Ovis aries: one gene and its partner. The protein of the gene in region 2 interacts with the protein of the main gene of each other region in a biochemical or structural test. Links are inferred from orthologs where the notes say so. Each region holds a gene or a part of one and is shown on either strand. Other genes may lie near its edges.

Region 1 (6,635 bases), on a different chromosome or scaffold from region 2:
AAACCACTGTTTGGGTAAAAACTGGTGTATGTGTATGTGTGTTTGAGGGCTTCCCAGGTGGTGCGGTAAAGAGCCCGCCACCCAATGCAGGAGACAGAAGAGATGCGGGTTTGATCCCAGGGTTGGGAAGAATCCCTGGAGGAGGGCACAGAAACCCACTCCAGTATTCTTGCCTGGAGAATCTCATGGACAGAGGAGCCTGGTGGGCTATAGTCCATGGCGTCACAGAGTCGGACATGACTGAAGCGACTTACATGTGTGTGTTTGAAGATCCTCAGATTGGTTCATCCTGCTCTGCCTCCACCCCCATGGCTGCTTATAAAATAGAAAGTTCCAAAGGACTTCAGCCCTGGGAGATGACATCTTCTTCTCCTTTCCCCATTGATCCAGTCTTACAGACAGATCCCTCTAGGGTGCAGGTGTAAAGATACAACAGCCCCCAAACCAGAACCTTCAACGGGTGCCCTTTAAGTCTGTCTTCCTGAGGATGAAATCTGTTATTCTTCTGAGTTTGGGGCTGTTCAGAGGGCCCATAGGATGACAAAGAGGAAGGCACTCCCGTGATCTTTATCTCACAAGGCTCTCACCTTCAGGGAGGCTCTTCCCCCTTGGGTACCTCCTCTAGTTTCTGCCCCCAAGTTCTTCCTCAGGCTCTACACCAGATTACAGATGCGGCATGCCTGTATTTCCAGTTGTTCAGTTGTGTCTGACTCTTTGCTACCTCATGGACTCTAGCTAGGCTCTTCGGTCCATGGGATTTTTTTTCCCCGAAAGAATACTGGAGTGTGTTGCCGTTTCCTATACTAGGGGATCTTTTCCCAACCCAGGGATTGAACCCAAGTCCCCTGCATCTCCTACATTGGCAGGCGGATTCTCTACCACTGGGAAGCCCATACAGATGTAGCAGGTGGCAGGAAAAGGGAAGGGCTTTTTTCTTTGTGATGCCGAAAGGCGCAGAGTCACAAAGGATGGCCTGGAGTTTGCCCTGTGGGAAAGAGCTTTTCAAAGCTCTAGGACTTCACAGGGCTAGGGAGGCAGTGTCTTCAGGACACCAGGAAAGAGCACTGGGTAAAGGCCAAGTAGGAAGGAAAGGTCCTACCAAGAACTGGGAAGCAAGGCAGCCACTGCTTGAGCTACTTAACTGCATCTCAAACTCAAGTGTAGGTGGGAAGAGGAACTCAGGGTCAAGTGTGTAACAGAAGCAGTTCCTTGTTAGGGGGACTGAGGGCTACTGACAAAGAAACAAGAACAGACCCTCCAGTTGTGTGGAGCTGTACCCTCATGGAGCACGTTACTTCCGCTAGGCTCACCACCATCAGCCTTTCCTGGGAAAGATGAGGGAAGCCCCGGGTATTGTGCTTAGGTCTGCAACACTGCTTAGAGGTCCTGTGGAATTGGACTTGGGTTCTTACATATGTAAAAAGCAATAATGATACTTCTTGTTGTTCAGTCACTAAGCTGTAGCCAACTCTTTGCAACCCCATGGACTGCAGCATGCCAGGCCCCACAGTCCTCCACTGTCTCCCAGTGTTTGCCCAAATACATGTTTACTGAGTTGGTGATGCTATCTAACCATCTCATCCTCTGCCACCCTCTTCTCTTCCTCCTGCCTTCAATCTTTCCTAGCATCAGTCTCTTCCAATGAGTCAGCTCTTTGAATCAGGAGGCCAAAGTATTGGAGCTTCAGCAACCAGTCCTTCCAGTGAATATTCAGGGTTGATTTCCTTTAGAACTGACTGGTTTGATCTCCTTGCAGTCCAAGGGACTCTCAAGAGTCTTCTCCAGCACCACAATTCAAAAGCATCAGTTCTTTGGCACTCAGCCTTCTTTAAGGTCCAACTCTCATAGCCATCACAGAAGGCAATGGCAGCCCATTCGTGTTCTTGCCTGGAGAATCCCAGGGACGGGGGAGCCTGGTGGGCTGCTGTCTGTGGGGTCACACAGAGTCGGACACGACTGAAGCGACTTAGCAGCAGCAGCAGCAGCTCATAGCCATACACGACTACTAGAAAAACCATAGCTTTGACTATAATGATACTAGCTCCTGGATAATTGTGAGTATTTATATTTATACCCTGTGTACAACATAAATGGAATGATTCTAGTTGCCAAATAAATGATAGCTAGCAGCCAAATCATTTAGCACACACACACACACACACACACACACACAGAGGCCTAGATCAGTTAAATTTGATCTTTGAGACTAAACAACAGTTGTGTGGAGTTTTTTGTTGTTGTTTTCCCCCTAAAGCTGCAACCTCTCCTTTCTTCCTCCAAGAGGTTCCTGGGTGCCAGAGATGCAAACTACTTATTAAATTCAAGCCACTAATTTTACAGAAGCTAGGGGAAACGCTGAGCAATGGGCTAAAAGATCACACAGACATATAGTTCCCTGAGCTGGTAAGGCCTCTATTCGGGTGGGGGAGTTTACCCCACCTTTTATTATTGTGCCTAACACAGCAGAACTGAATAGGAAAGTTTTATTTGTTTTGCGGGAGTCGAGGCGGCGTCAAGTGTCTAGTCCTGAACTGACTAGAGAGCAGCGGGTGCTGAACCGCCCGGCGAGGATGCGGCAGAGCAGCGAGAAGCCCCGACTCCAGGCTTCCCCAGGCTCGCAGAACCCTGACCCCTGAGTCAGCGCCGCCCTCTTTCTGAGAGGCCTGTAAGATCTGACCTGCCGAGATCCTCTGAGCCGCAGAGCGGATGGAGGACCCCTATAGCTCAAACACTTGGCTTCTCAAGATTATGCGATACGCTCACGTCTCCCAGAAACCTACCCTAGACCGAGGGGTCCAAGAGGACCGTTTTCTGACCCACCTCGGTCCCTGCCATTGGCTTTAGCCCTTGGTCACCTGACTTATTCGAGCCAATGAGAGGTGACAAAATGAATACTTCCTCTTCCTATGTGGCGAAAGAGCCACTGTGCCCGCCTCTTGGGGACTCTGATTGGTTGTCCTCCCTCAACTCGCTAGTTTATTGGCCAGCGCCGCGAGACTGAGGTACGGCCGGGTCTGAGGGCTGTGTCAGACAGCCCGGCTGCCATGGCGTCTTATTTCGATGAACACGACTGCGAGCCGTTGGATCGTGAACGGGATCCCCGAACAAACATGCTGCTGGAGCTTGCAAGGTGGGTGTGTGGGGCTGGGAGGTAGGGCCCACACAGCAGGTGTCTGGGCTGAGGCTGGCTGGAGAACGCGGATTATGTGGGGCAGCAGTTTCTGGGTAAAACGGATAAATAATCTGCAGAGTTAATTCCGCAGTGAGATTCGGGGGGAAGTCGATAATTTCGGTCGTCCTTGGACAGACTAGAGCAAGGGAATTCTGGAAAAAGCGATCTGGAGTGTGGAAGAGGGGGTGTGCGAACTGGAGGGCAGTGGGCTTTAGGAGGTACTGAAGTAGGCGGGTCATGGGAGCAGGGGCCATGTGACTGTGAGTAGGTATATCCGTTAGGCACTTCAAGCACGGAAGCTACACTGCCACTTGGAATTTGGCTTTTTTGGGTCATTCCTGAGTGACCCGAATAATTTCTCTCTCTCGTGTAAAACTGGAATAAATAACCTGCATGCTTGGGGTTGTCTGATGGCCTGGGGTTGTCTGATAGCAGCTGTAAGCCATTTCCCACTGTGCTTTTTTGTCTAGAGCACTACTGAGGGGTAGCTATTAGTATGACTAGTCGGGCAGAGTATTTGTCTGTTAATGTTTAGTGGATTATGGGGGCAAAGATTCTTTGGTTCTGACCTTGCATCCTTCTTCCCAGGTCCCTTTTCAATAGGATGGACTTTGAAGACTTGGGGTTAGTAGTGGATTGGGATCACCACCTGCCTCCACCCGCTGCCAAGACTGCAGTTGAGAACCTTCCCAGGACAGTCATCAGGGGCTCTCAGGCTGGTGAGAACACTAAGTCCTTCCATTGATTCTTTGGGGCAGGTCTGCCAGGCTGACCAACTCTGGAAGCCAGATTACAGTCTGGCCCTTCAGTTTTCCAGGTCAGGCTGGGGCAAGTGTGTCCTTCAGGAGTGGGAGCTAGGAGGTAGGGCCTGTGGCAGCTCTCCTGATTAGCACTCCCTCCTCAAGAGCTCAAGTGCCCCGTGTGTCTTTTGGAATTTGAGGAGGCGGAGACCGCCATTGAGATGCCTTGCCATCACCTCTTCCATTCCAACTGCATTCTGCCCTGGCTGAGCAAGGTACTGTTTCCTTTCTCCCAGCCCTCACCCTGCCTTGGGCCTAGTCCTCAAGCCTCCTCTTTCTGTTGATGGACCTTTGGGGTGGGGTGTGGGATCAGAGATGGGAGAGGGGTAAGGGTAGGGAATTGGGAGCTGGGGATGGTTGTTTTGAGCTTATGAAAACCAGACGGGCTGGTACACTGCACTGCTTTTCTCAGACCAATTCCTGCCCTCTGTGCCGCCATGAGCTGCCCACTGATGATGACACTTATGAGGAGCACAAGCGAGATAAGGTAGGGGGCTGGGCAAGTGGAGGGGGTGGTCACAGGGCTCCCTGAGTCCCTGTTCCTGATGCCATCATTCCCCACCTTAGGAGGCCTGAGTAGGCTCACAGTCCATGAGTCTGGCCACCTTCCCAGTGACTGTGGTGAGGGGCAAGGGCCTTGGCAATGTTCCTGCCCAAATGTTAGGGGCCTGAAAACAGTGAGCCAGCCCCACGATGGCTGCCCTATCCCTTCACCCACAGGCCTTTGGGGATGGCCCCCGACCAGTGTGCACTCTTTGCTTCAGGCTCGCAAGCAGCAGCAGAAGCACCGCCTCGAGAACCTCCACGGAGCCATGTACACATGAGGCGGCTAGGGCTGGACACTGGTCCTCTGCAACATGTTCCTCTTGCATCTCAAGCTCTCATTAAAGGTTTCTTCACTCATCCTGCTGCTGCATTGCTCTCAGGCCTGGGAAGGGGCTCTGTACCCTCCACTGGGTCTCTACTGGGATGGGGTCCTAAGCCGTGGAAGGTCCCAGGCTGGGTATCCCTCCCTACCAAGCCTGCTGGCCCGAGGATAATAGGGCCTAGGTCAAGAACCTGGCTACCAGACCAGCCACAGCCTGGGCCTACATGTCTGTGGTTGGAAGACAAAATGTGTCAGGCAGGGCACCTAGTAGTGACTTAAAAATGGTAACCAAAAACTAGCCAACATTTCTCCCTCCCCACTGCAATCTTTAGTCAGTGTTAGAATCCCCAGGGCTTTCTTTAGCTTCATTGCTGATTGCTTCTAACATTTTCAAGTTATTCTCTGTACCCCGTCCTTCATCATATCCCTTAAGTGTGGAATCAGTCTTCAAGCCAGACAATTGAGCAGGGTGAAAAAAAGTGAAAGTGTTAGTTGCTCAGTCATATCTGACTCTGCGACCCCATGGACTACAGCCCACCAGGTTCCTCTGTCCATGAATTCTCTAGGCAAGAATACTAGAGTGGGTAGCCATTCCCTTCTCCAGGGGATCTTTCCAGTCCGGGGATCGAACTGGGGTCTCCTGCACTGCAGGCAGATTCTTTACCATCTGAGCCACTAGGGAAGCCCCTGAGCAGGGTAGGAAGTGTGAAATAATCAGCTCAGCTCTTCAGACTGTTTAGAGGCCCAGAAAGGGCTTCAGGCCCTTCAGGGGTGCTTGGATAGCACTTGGCATCCTTTGTTCTTGGCAGCTTTGCTCTCAGTTGGGCACTCAGGACCCTCCCTGTGGGCAGGGGCTTTCTCCCATCCTTTGTCCAGGGGAAGCTGTTCTGCATTAAGGCCCTCTTCCTTTCTTCAGAACAGACTACAAACATGCAAATTAGAATTCTTTTAATAGATATATATATTAAAAAAAGTACTAAAATACCCACGTGGTTCTGCTGTGTTATTTGCCCTAAAGAAAGGGGCAGAGTGAAGAATCCCAGTGCAGTTCAGTGGGCCCATAGGGGGCCTTCCCATAGACTAAGGAGTGCTCACCCCCACCCCCGAGACTGGTAGCCCTCTCGCTGTTCCCAGCCCCCAATTCCTGCAGCAGGAAACCCCAGTGGTCCAGCCTTGGCACTGAGGGAGTAGAAGGCACCTGAAGGGGTGGCTGGGTGAATGACATGTGACCTTTAAAACAAAGATAACACTGCAGTGTGGGGAGTGGGCTGTGTGGCTTGGGCAGCCTGCCAAGAGGCCCGCTCCTCTATGGCACAGGTGTGGGACGGCCCCTCCTCCAGGAGCGAGGCAGCCTGTTTCCCAACAGAATACTTTTCGCAAAATTGGGTTTTTTTGGTACAAAAGAAATGCAAAGGAGATGCGGGGAGCTGCGGAGGCAGGGCCAGCCACCCTCCCCAGACCTCAGATCATGGCGACGCTCTCAGGGCTACAGTTGAGGTGGGTGGAGGTGCTGCTGCTCCCGGAGGACTTGCAGGCCCGGCCGGGGGTGGGCTGCAGCGCGGCCACCAGTGTGTCCGAGGAGACCGCCCCGAACTCGTAGCTGAAGGTGCCGTAGAAGATGAGAATGTCAATGACGAACACCCACTCACACAGGGCTGCCCCATGCTGCAGCTGAGAGCTCTCATGGATGAAGAAGACCCCACCTGGGAGAGGGCTAAGGAAACGTCCGGAAGGAGGTATGGGAGCCTGGTGACACCCTTCCTGGATACAGGCTGGGGCAGAGGACCAAGTCTCA
Region 2 (7,112 bases):
CATCTCTTGCCTGGACTAATGCAAACAAATCCCAACTGGTCTCCTTTAACTCTCTCCTGCTCAAAGCCCTTCCTGGCTCCCCCTGCCCTCAGGTCAAATCCACCATCTTTGTCATGTCTAAATAAATCCCTTCTGATCTTTGTCATGGCTAAATAAACCCCTTCTCTCTTCCCTTACCGTTGTAGCCATCCCGGTTGAGGTCGCCCAGAGGTGCAATGGCTGAGCCAAATCGCCCATAGAGCTGTGCGCCAGTCAGCAGGAGGTTGGGGGCCCCCAGCATTCGGGCGCCTCGAGTCTGCAGGAACAAGTACACACGCCCCACCTCGGCCAGCTTGCGGTCAGCACGGCTCTCCATGTACAGTGGTGCACCCACCAAGAGGTCATGCCTCCTGCAGGCCCAACGGGTGGTTATGTGGGGATGGGCTAGAGGGATGCTGTGGGCCTGAGCCCAGGCTTACCCATCCTTGCTCTCCTGCTCCCCTCAGTGTGAGTGAGGGCTGGGAAAGGAAGAGACTGGAGACCAAGGGCAGTCAACACCTCTGGTAATTTGGGACCCAAGTGGGTAGGAGTGGGGGCGCCTGGCTTCTCACCCATCCCCATTGACGTCCGTGACGGCCACTGAGTGCCCAAAATATGAAGCCATCTGCAGGAAATGGGGCACACCTTAATTTCTGTCCTCATACTCACACTTTGATCCCACCCTGTCTCGTGGAATATTCCAGGGTCTCAATTCCCTTGCCTTGGCCACCCCCACCTGATCCTCACCTGCTCTCCATGCAGCCGGTGCAGCATCTGGTGGTACGAGTCCAAAATTTCCACCTGCTCAGAAAACGTACAGGAGCATGTCACAGGGCAGGAAGTTTGGAGGCGGGGGCGGGCACGGTTCAGGCTGAAGAGTGAAATGAGTGAGGGGAGGACAGACGGCACTCACCGCTCCCAGGGTCCAACTCCAGGTGGGGGCACCGAAGACATACTCTGGGGAGAGTCGGGACCAGAAAGTGAGGTCTCTGGAACCCCCACCTGCCTCCTGCCCGCCGTTCCGCATCCCAGGGAGATGCCGGTCTTGGAAGTGCTCCTTTCCGGGCGGGACTCCCCAAACCCCACCCCTAAGTGAATTTCTTGCCTGTAGTGTTGGGATTTCCGTCGAAGTCGCCCACGGCCACCGAGTACCCTGAAGGCACAGTGAGAATTAGTCCTTCAGGGAGGGTGAAGCAGGGAAGGGGCCCGAGTGAGAACGGAGGGGACTCAGAGACCACCCAGTTCAAACTCTGCATTGCGGAGACGGGGAAATCGAGGCCACCGAGAGGTCAAGACCTGCCCGAGGCCGCGAAGCGAATTCAGCTCGAGAAGTCGACATGCTCGCCTTTGGGAGCTGGGCTGTCTGCAGAGGGTAGGGAGAGGGAGCTGCCTGAGCAGAGTGGGGGCGCCTTAGTGCTGGGGCTGGCCAGCCAGAGTTGACAATGGGGCGTTCCTACAGGGGTAGGACAGGGCTGGCGGTGACGCTTGAGTGCTGGGAAGCCTCGATGGGAAGTGCCACGTTACCCCGGTAGCCGTCGTAGTATTGTAAGTGACTGTGGTCGTAGGTGAACTGGGTGCGCACGTGCCACAAAAGGTTGCCTGGGCGGTAACTCGAGATGATATCGGCGATTGGAGCCCGCGCCAAGAGACCTAGGGCACGTGGGACAGTTAGTATGGGCGTCCAGGAGCCTGGAGTGTGCCCGGGTCGAGAGAAGGGAGGGAGGTGTACGGATGGGCACGTACCTACGAAATAGTAGCCGCCAGGAGCCCCAAGCACCAGCTCCCCAGCCTGAAATAGAAGCTCTGAAGGTGAGAGAGGGCCCTGTTTGGGGGGCAACCCCCACGCCGTTTATGCTCCCTACTCGCCTGAGTGACTACCGAGCTGAAGCCGGCTTCGCAGTAACGCCTGTCCTCTCCTAGAGAAGGCAAAAAGAAAGGGTCAGCGAAGAAGCCTGCTCTGACGAGTGGCGCCGGGCCGGGAGGCGGAGTCAAACGGGGGCGGGGCCACAGGGTAATACGGAGGCGTGGTCTACTATCAACATCCAGTGGGCAGGATATGGGGGTGGAGTCAGGAACTAGGCTATCTGGGAGACCCCAGACTGCAAGCAGGATTTGGGAATGATCGGGTGAAGGGCGGGGCTAGTGGATAACGGCCGCGAGTGGGCGGAGCCGAAACGGAGAGAGGAGCTCACTGAAATGATTTCTCTCGTAAAACTGGCTCATTTTGTTGGCCCGGCAGGGCGAGTACTCTGTGCGGTCGCCGTTTTGGAGCTGAGCCACGAAGCAGCCACCTACGGGGGTCTTCTGAGCCTCCTCCTCGTTCCTATCTAGGACGTTCCAGTGCTGCCAGGGGGCGCAGGCCTGAAGCAGAGCCAGAGGAGAGTGGGGAAGGGGCGGGACTCGGGTTCCTCCCTCCACGTGTCCCCGCCCTCCGTCTGCTCCCTGATCCCGGTCCGGTAGCGCCCACCACAATGCTGTCTCTCCAACTAACGACCGACGCCCCGAGTCCTTGCCCGGCCTTGAAGGTTTGGAAAGTTTGGGTGCCTATGCTTTGCGTTTCATCATCTGGAGGGCACAAGAAGAGAGTAGGGTGCTGAAGCCCGGCTGTCCGCGCTCCTTGTATCCCCTCCCTTTCTCTTCTTGTGCGAGACTCACAGAGGTTGAAGGGCAGCGAGATGCACTGGCCACCCTCGGCCTTCCAGGGGCACAGGAAAATGCCGCCGGTCTCCTCCTCGCTGCGGCCCAGGGTCCGTGGGGCGCCCACCACGATGGACACACTGCATAAGAAAGCTGGGTGAGAGCTCCGTGGATTCTGGGGTACCCCGTGCCCCAGTGCCTGTGCCGGGAGCACTCCTCGGAAGGGCGGTGTGCCTTGAGGGTCACTGGATCTTTTCCCAGTGAGACGACACAGACCACAGACGCCAATCTTTTCATTTTATGGCCACTGAAACTGACTCCCAGCGAGGAAAGTCACATACCCATCAGTAACCGAGGAAATTAAGGATGAAACAGAATATAACCATTAGGTTCGATTTGAACACGAGGGGTTTGACAGCCTTGCTAAAAGAGATCTCCTAAACTCTGTACACCGTCTACATTCCCCAACACTTGCCACGAAAAGCCAAGGGTTTACATGCACCGTGTTCCTGTCTAAACTGTCATCAGATCTCTTTCTGAGAACCAGTTTTAATCAGGAAATATTAAGCTAGTGGGCACCCGTAAAGTGGGTGGTGGGGTGCTGACATTTCTAAGGACTCTAGTAGATCTAGGTTCAAATGACAGCTCTACTGTATATAAAAGGTGGACAATACCAATCAATGCTGTCAGAAGTAAATGAAATAAACACATGAAAAACATTTATGCCAGTGCCAGCCAAATAATACATAACGAGGGCTCCAAAAATGCTGTAATTTGTTTTTCTTTTTAGTTTGCAGGATATTTACTAAGTAGTGCCCATGAGACCAGTATCTATGAAAAGGAGGAGAAAGAAGCAGGAGCAGGCAGGGGACATTGAGTTGAGATTCGGACTGAATAACAGCCATGGGTCAATGTCCTGGGAACTTTGGAGGGAGAAAGACCCTCAGAACTGTCTGGAGTTGAAAGAGTCAGACCGTTAACCTCTCCCCTCCCTCCACACTCCTCATTGACTGGTCATTGTTCCTGGGCCACATTTGGAAGTGGGGGAGCTTTGAGGGAGGTGGCCCTCTTCAGCAGAAGCAACTCCCCAAGGTGCTGACACTTAAAGTTCATCTGCTATTGTTATGCTCTGAAGCTGGACCTTGGTGTCCATCTCAATAAGGAACTAGCTCAGGGTTGTTGCTATAGAGAGAAAGAGCCAGGACTCTAATTTTAGCAGTCTGAATTTGCAGCCTGATGAATCCCAACCAATAATGCTCTATTGCTTCTTTTCAAATATCAATCGTTTTGCTGGGTTGAGGGGATTGGAATAGAAAGCAAAGTGGGAGTAGACAGACAATTTCACAGTTCTGCAGGTCAACTTAAGACATGTGCTCCTTTCTGTATTTCAAGGGGATGAGGGTGGAGTGGGTCATAAAACTGACCCTTGAGGAAAAAATAAGGCATCAACATCGGTCTCCCCTTTGTCTTTGCTCTGCTCAGCTCCCCACTGGTGCCTCTTGCTGACACCCTGGTATTCCTAACAAGAACTCAGCCCAAATAGACCCTGGAAATAAGTTTGCTCAACCTCTATCACAAATGGGGAACTCAAGACCCACAGAAGCAGTGATGGTGGGGGAGTTTCCCAGGGCTCACCTCCTATTGCTGTTCTTGTAGAAGTCCAGTGAAAACCCAAAGTGGCTGCCATTAGGGCCTGTGTAGATGGTGAGCTGCACTGAATCCAGGTTCAAGGCCCAGGTTGGAGGCACAGCACCAGGTCCCAAGAGCAGCTGCACCCACTCCAGAAGCCAGAGGGCACGAAGTAGACACAGAGCTCTGGCCATCTTCCTTCTCCCACAGCCTCCTAGGCAGTAATGGGTTAGCAGCTTCCCCTTTCAGTTCCACCGCAGGAAGTCTTTTCTTATCAAGCTGAAACCTACTTGCTGACTAGTAGGCAGAGTCCTGGGCCATATGGTTTCTAGGGTTGTTGGGAAGAGGGTAAGTCTACCCTGGGGGTGGATGCTTATGGCTGAAAGCCAATTCTTCCCTTTTCTTGAACGTATTTTATCAAGTCCTGCTGGTTCTGCTCTTCAACAATGTCTCTTGAATCTTCATTCCATTTCTTCTACCACCATGCTAGTCTAAACCACCACTGCTTCCTGCTTGGGATAGTGCAACACGCCTCCACTCTAGCCCAGTTCTACAGGTCCTCCTCCCCCCACACAGTTCCCTGCACTGCCAAGGCACACTGTGACTTGGTCAGAAGTGGGGGAAGGAGCGAGGAAGCTCCTGGCCCCTGATAAGACCTGAGGCTGCTGTATCCTTAAAAGAATAAGGCACTTATCCACTTCCTCCTTCTAGGACCTTTGGCAGCTTCAGTCAGTCATATTGGCACAACAGCTTCCTCGCTCATCCTCCATCTGGGGCCAAGTCTTAATGTGGCGCAGCAATGTAGCCAGTGCTGGGGGAGGGGTGGTGAATGGATCCTGGCTGAAGGGAGGAGATGGGGATAAAGTGGAGTCATCCCAGGGTGTTCTGGCTCACAGGCTTGGAGATTTGCACCAGCTGTTCAGTTGAAGGCAGGTCTAACTCCTTGGGTGACAGAGCTCTTGTCCAATCAGTAAGACTTGATTCTAGTGGGGTCATTGCCTAGGAGATGCCACTCTCAATTCCTCGGGCTGGCACTCTGGGGTTCACACACAGGGGTGCGGCACTGATCACACTGCTTTGTCATGGTCTGTTCACTGGATTTTGTTCACGGGTCCCTTGAGAATGAGGGTCCTTTCTGGTGCCCCAGGACCTAGCCAAGAGCCCATCATACCGTAGGCATTGCTGACAGACTGAATAATAGCAGGCACTGAGGACTGGAGGATGCAAATGCAGGCTCCCACAGAGGAAAGAAAAGGAATAGTTTTGAGCAGAAAGGGCATTTTTTAACGGATGTTCAGAGGAAGAGGAGTGCCAAGCAAGTCTTACTGGCACTGCATTGTCTTCCCAAAAAAGCAGGTTGTCAGGAAGGAAATTTAAGAGATCTGCTGGGGTAAAGAACATAGTCACATTGCTTTTGCTCATATTTTCTTTTTAAATATTTTATTTATTTGGCTACATTGGGTCTTAGTTGCATCATCTGGCATCTTTCCTTGTGGTGCACGGACTCTGCAGTTGCGGTGTGGGATCTTAAGTTTCCCAACCAGGGATCGAACCCAAGTTCTTTGCATTGCAAGGTGGATTCCACTGGACTACCAAGGCTGTTAAATTTTCTGATCAAACTTAACCATCATCTTATCCCGCCCAACTCCCCAGGGCCCTTCAGCACCACCTTTGTCCTCATAATTCACCTCCTTTGAGCACATAGCTCAAAATCCTATCCCTTTCTAGGTTAGAGGCACCTTGAACTTTAGTCTGGGCCTCCTTCACTGCTGAATTCCCAGTGCCAAGCTCACGGCAGGCACGTAATACTTAGTCCTGTACTTACCTTCCACCCTCCCTGTCCTCAACTGAGTGGAACTGTATTACTGGTGTACCCTGTGTAGCCCCAGATTAACTCACACTTCACCAAGGCTTTTAATAAATTCTCATTCTGTTCACGGAGAAGGCAATGGCACCCCACTCCAGTACTCTTGCCTGGAAAATCCCATGGACGGAGAAGCCTGGTAGGCTGCAGTCCCTGGGGTCGCTAAGAGTCGGGCACGACTGAGCGACTTCACTTTCACGCATTGGAGAAGGTAATGGCAACCCACTCCAGTGTTCTTGCCTGGATAATCCCAGGGACGGGGGAGCCTGGTGGGCTGCCGTCTATGGGGTCGCAGAGTCGGACACGACTGAAGCGACTTAGCAGCAGCAGCAGCAGCAGCAGCAGCATTCTGTTCAAGGCACTGAGTGGTAAGAGATACAAAGACAATTGTCAAGGATCCTTAAAAAACTTAGTCCAGAGAGAGTTAAGACATGACATGAACACATATAACTGCAGCAGAATAGTAAATGCCTTGAAAAAGGTAGGGGTGATGCCTAGCTGAAGTCATTTATATTATCCGCTTCTTCATAACAACCCAATGAATTAGCTACTATTATGTCCATTTTAGAAACGCTAAAACTGTGGCACAGAGTTTTAGGTAAATAGCCCAAGTGTACAGAGTGGCAAAAACTATGTGTCAAACACATTTGTGCTTGAACTCATGTTCTTAACCATTGCACTATATTGCCTTTTGTCAGAGAATGAAGGGGTTTTTCAACACAGGAAATAACAGAGAGCAGAACACAGAGCTCAGTTATAGAGGTAAGTAGTCAACACAGGAGAGGACTGGGGCATGAGGGTGGAATGAAGGCTGGGGTCGCATCACTGCAGGTCCTTGAATGTCTGAGAAATCTGAACTTTAATCCATAGGAGATGGAGAATCGTAGGTTTTTTAACTAACAAATTAGAGAATAAGATACATGATCAACTGTGCTCCAATCAGAATCATACTAGTTACCTATGG

What was found. The genes of interacting proteins can lie anywhere in the genome.
Region 1: the proteins of ITGA2B (region 2) and RNF181 form a complex in vitro, tested with the Homo sapiens proteins (2 studies listed by BioGRID). The link is inferred for Ovis aries from reciprocal best matches to the Homo sapiens genes ITGA2B and RNF181.

Annotation. Positions count from the first base shown.
Region 1 is NC_056056.1:57,437,557-57,444,191, forward strand, and holds RNF181 (E3 ubiquitin-protein ligase RNF181), read left to right. Parts: upstream 1-3,004; 5' UTR 3,005-3,044; coding exon 3,045-3,130; intron 3,131-3,479; exon of another isoform or gene 3,480-3,609; intron 3,610-3,760; coding exon 3,761-3,891; intron 3,892-4,077; coding exon 4,078-4,187; intron 4,188-4,384; coding exon 4,385-4,459; intron 4,460-4,692; coding exon 4,693-4,860; 3' UTR 4,861-4,875; downstream 4,876-6,635. Other genes in the region: TMEM150A (transmembrane protein 150A), read right to left, coding at 6,302-6,543.
Region 2 is NC_056064.1:43,919,587-43,926,698, forward strand, and holds the start of ITGA2B (integrin alpha-IIb), read right to left. Parts: upstream 4,511-7,112; 5' UTR 4,479-4,510; coding exon 4,291-4,478; intron 2,796-4,290; coding exon 2,674-2,795; intron 2,584-2,673; coding exon 2,486-2,583; intron 2,380-2,485; coding exon 2,211-2,379; intron 1,935-2,210; coding exon 1,885-1,934; intron 1,808-1,884; coding exon 1,762-1,807; intron 1,669-1,761; coding exon 1,543-1,668; intron 1,172-1,542; coding exon 1,124-1,171; intron 976-1,123; coding exon 932-975; intron 820-931; coding exon 766-819; intron 644-765; coding exon 591-643; intron 390-590; coding exon 178-389; intron 1-177. UniProt on the Homo sapiens protein: Integrin alpha-IIb/beta-3 is a receptor for fibronectin, fibrinogen, plasminogen, prothrombin, thrombospondin and vitronectin. It recognizes the sequence R-G-D in a wide array of ligands.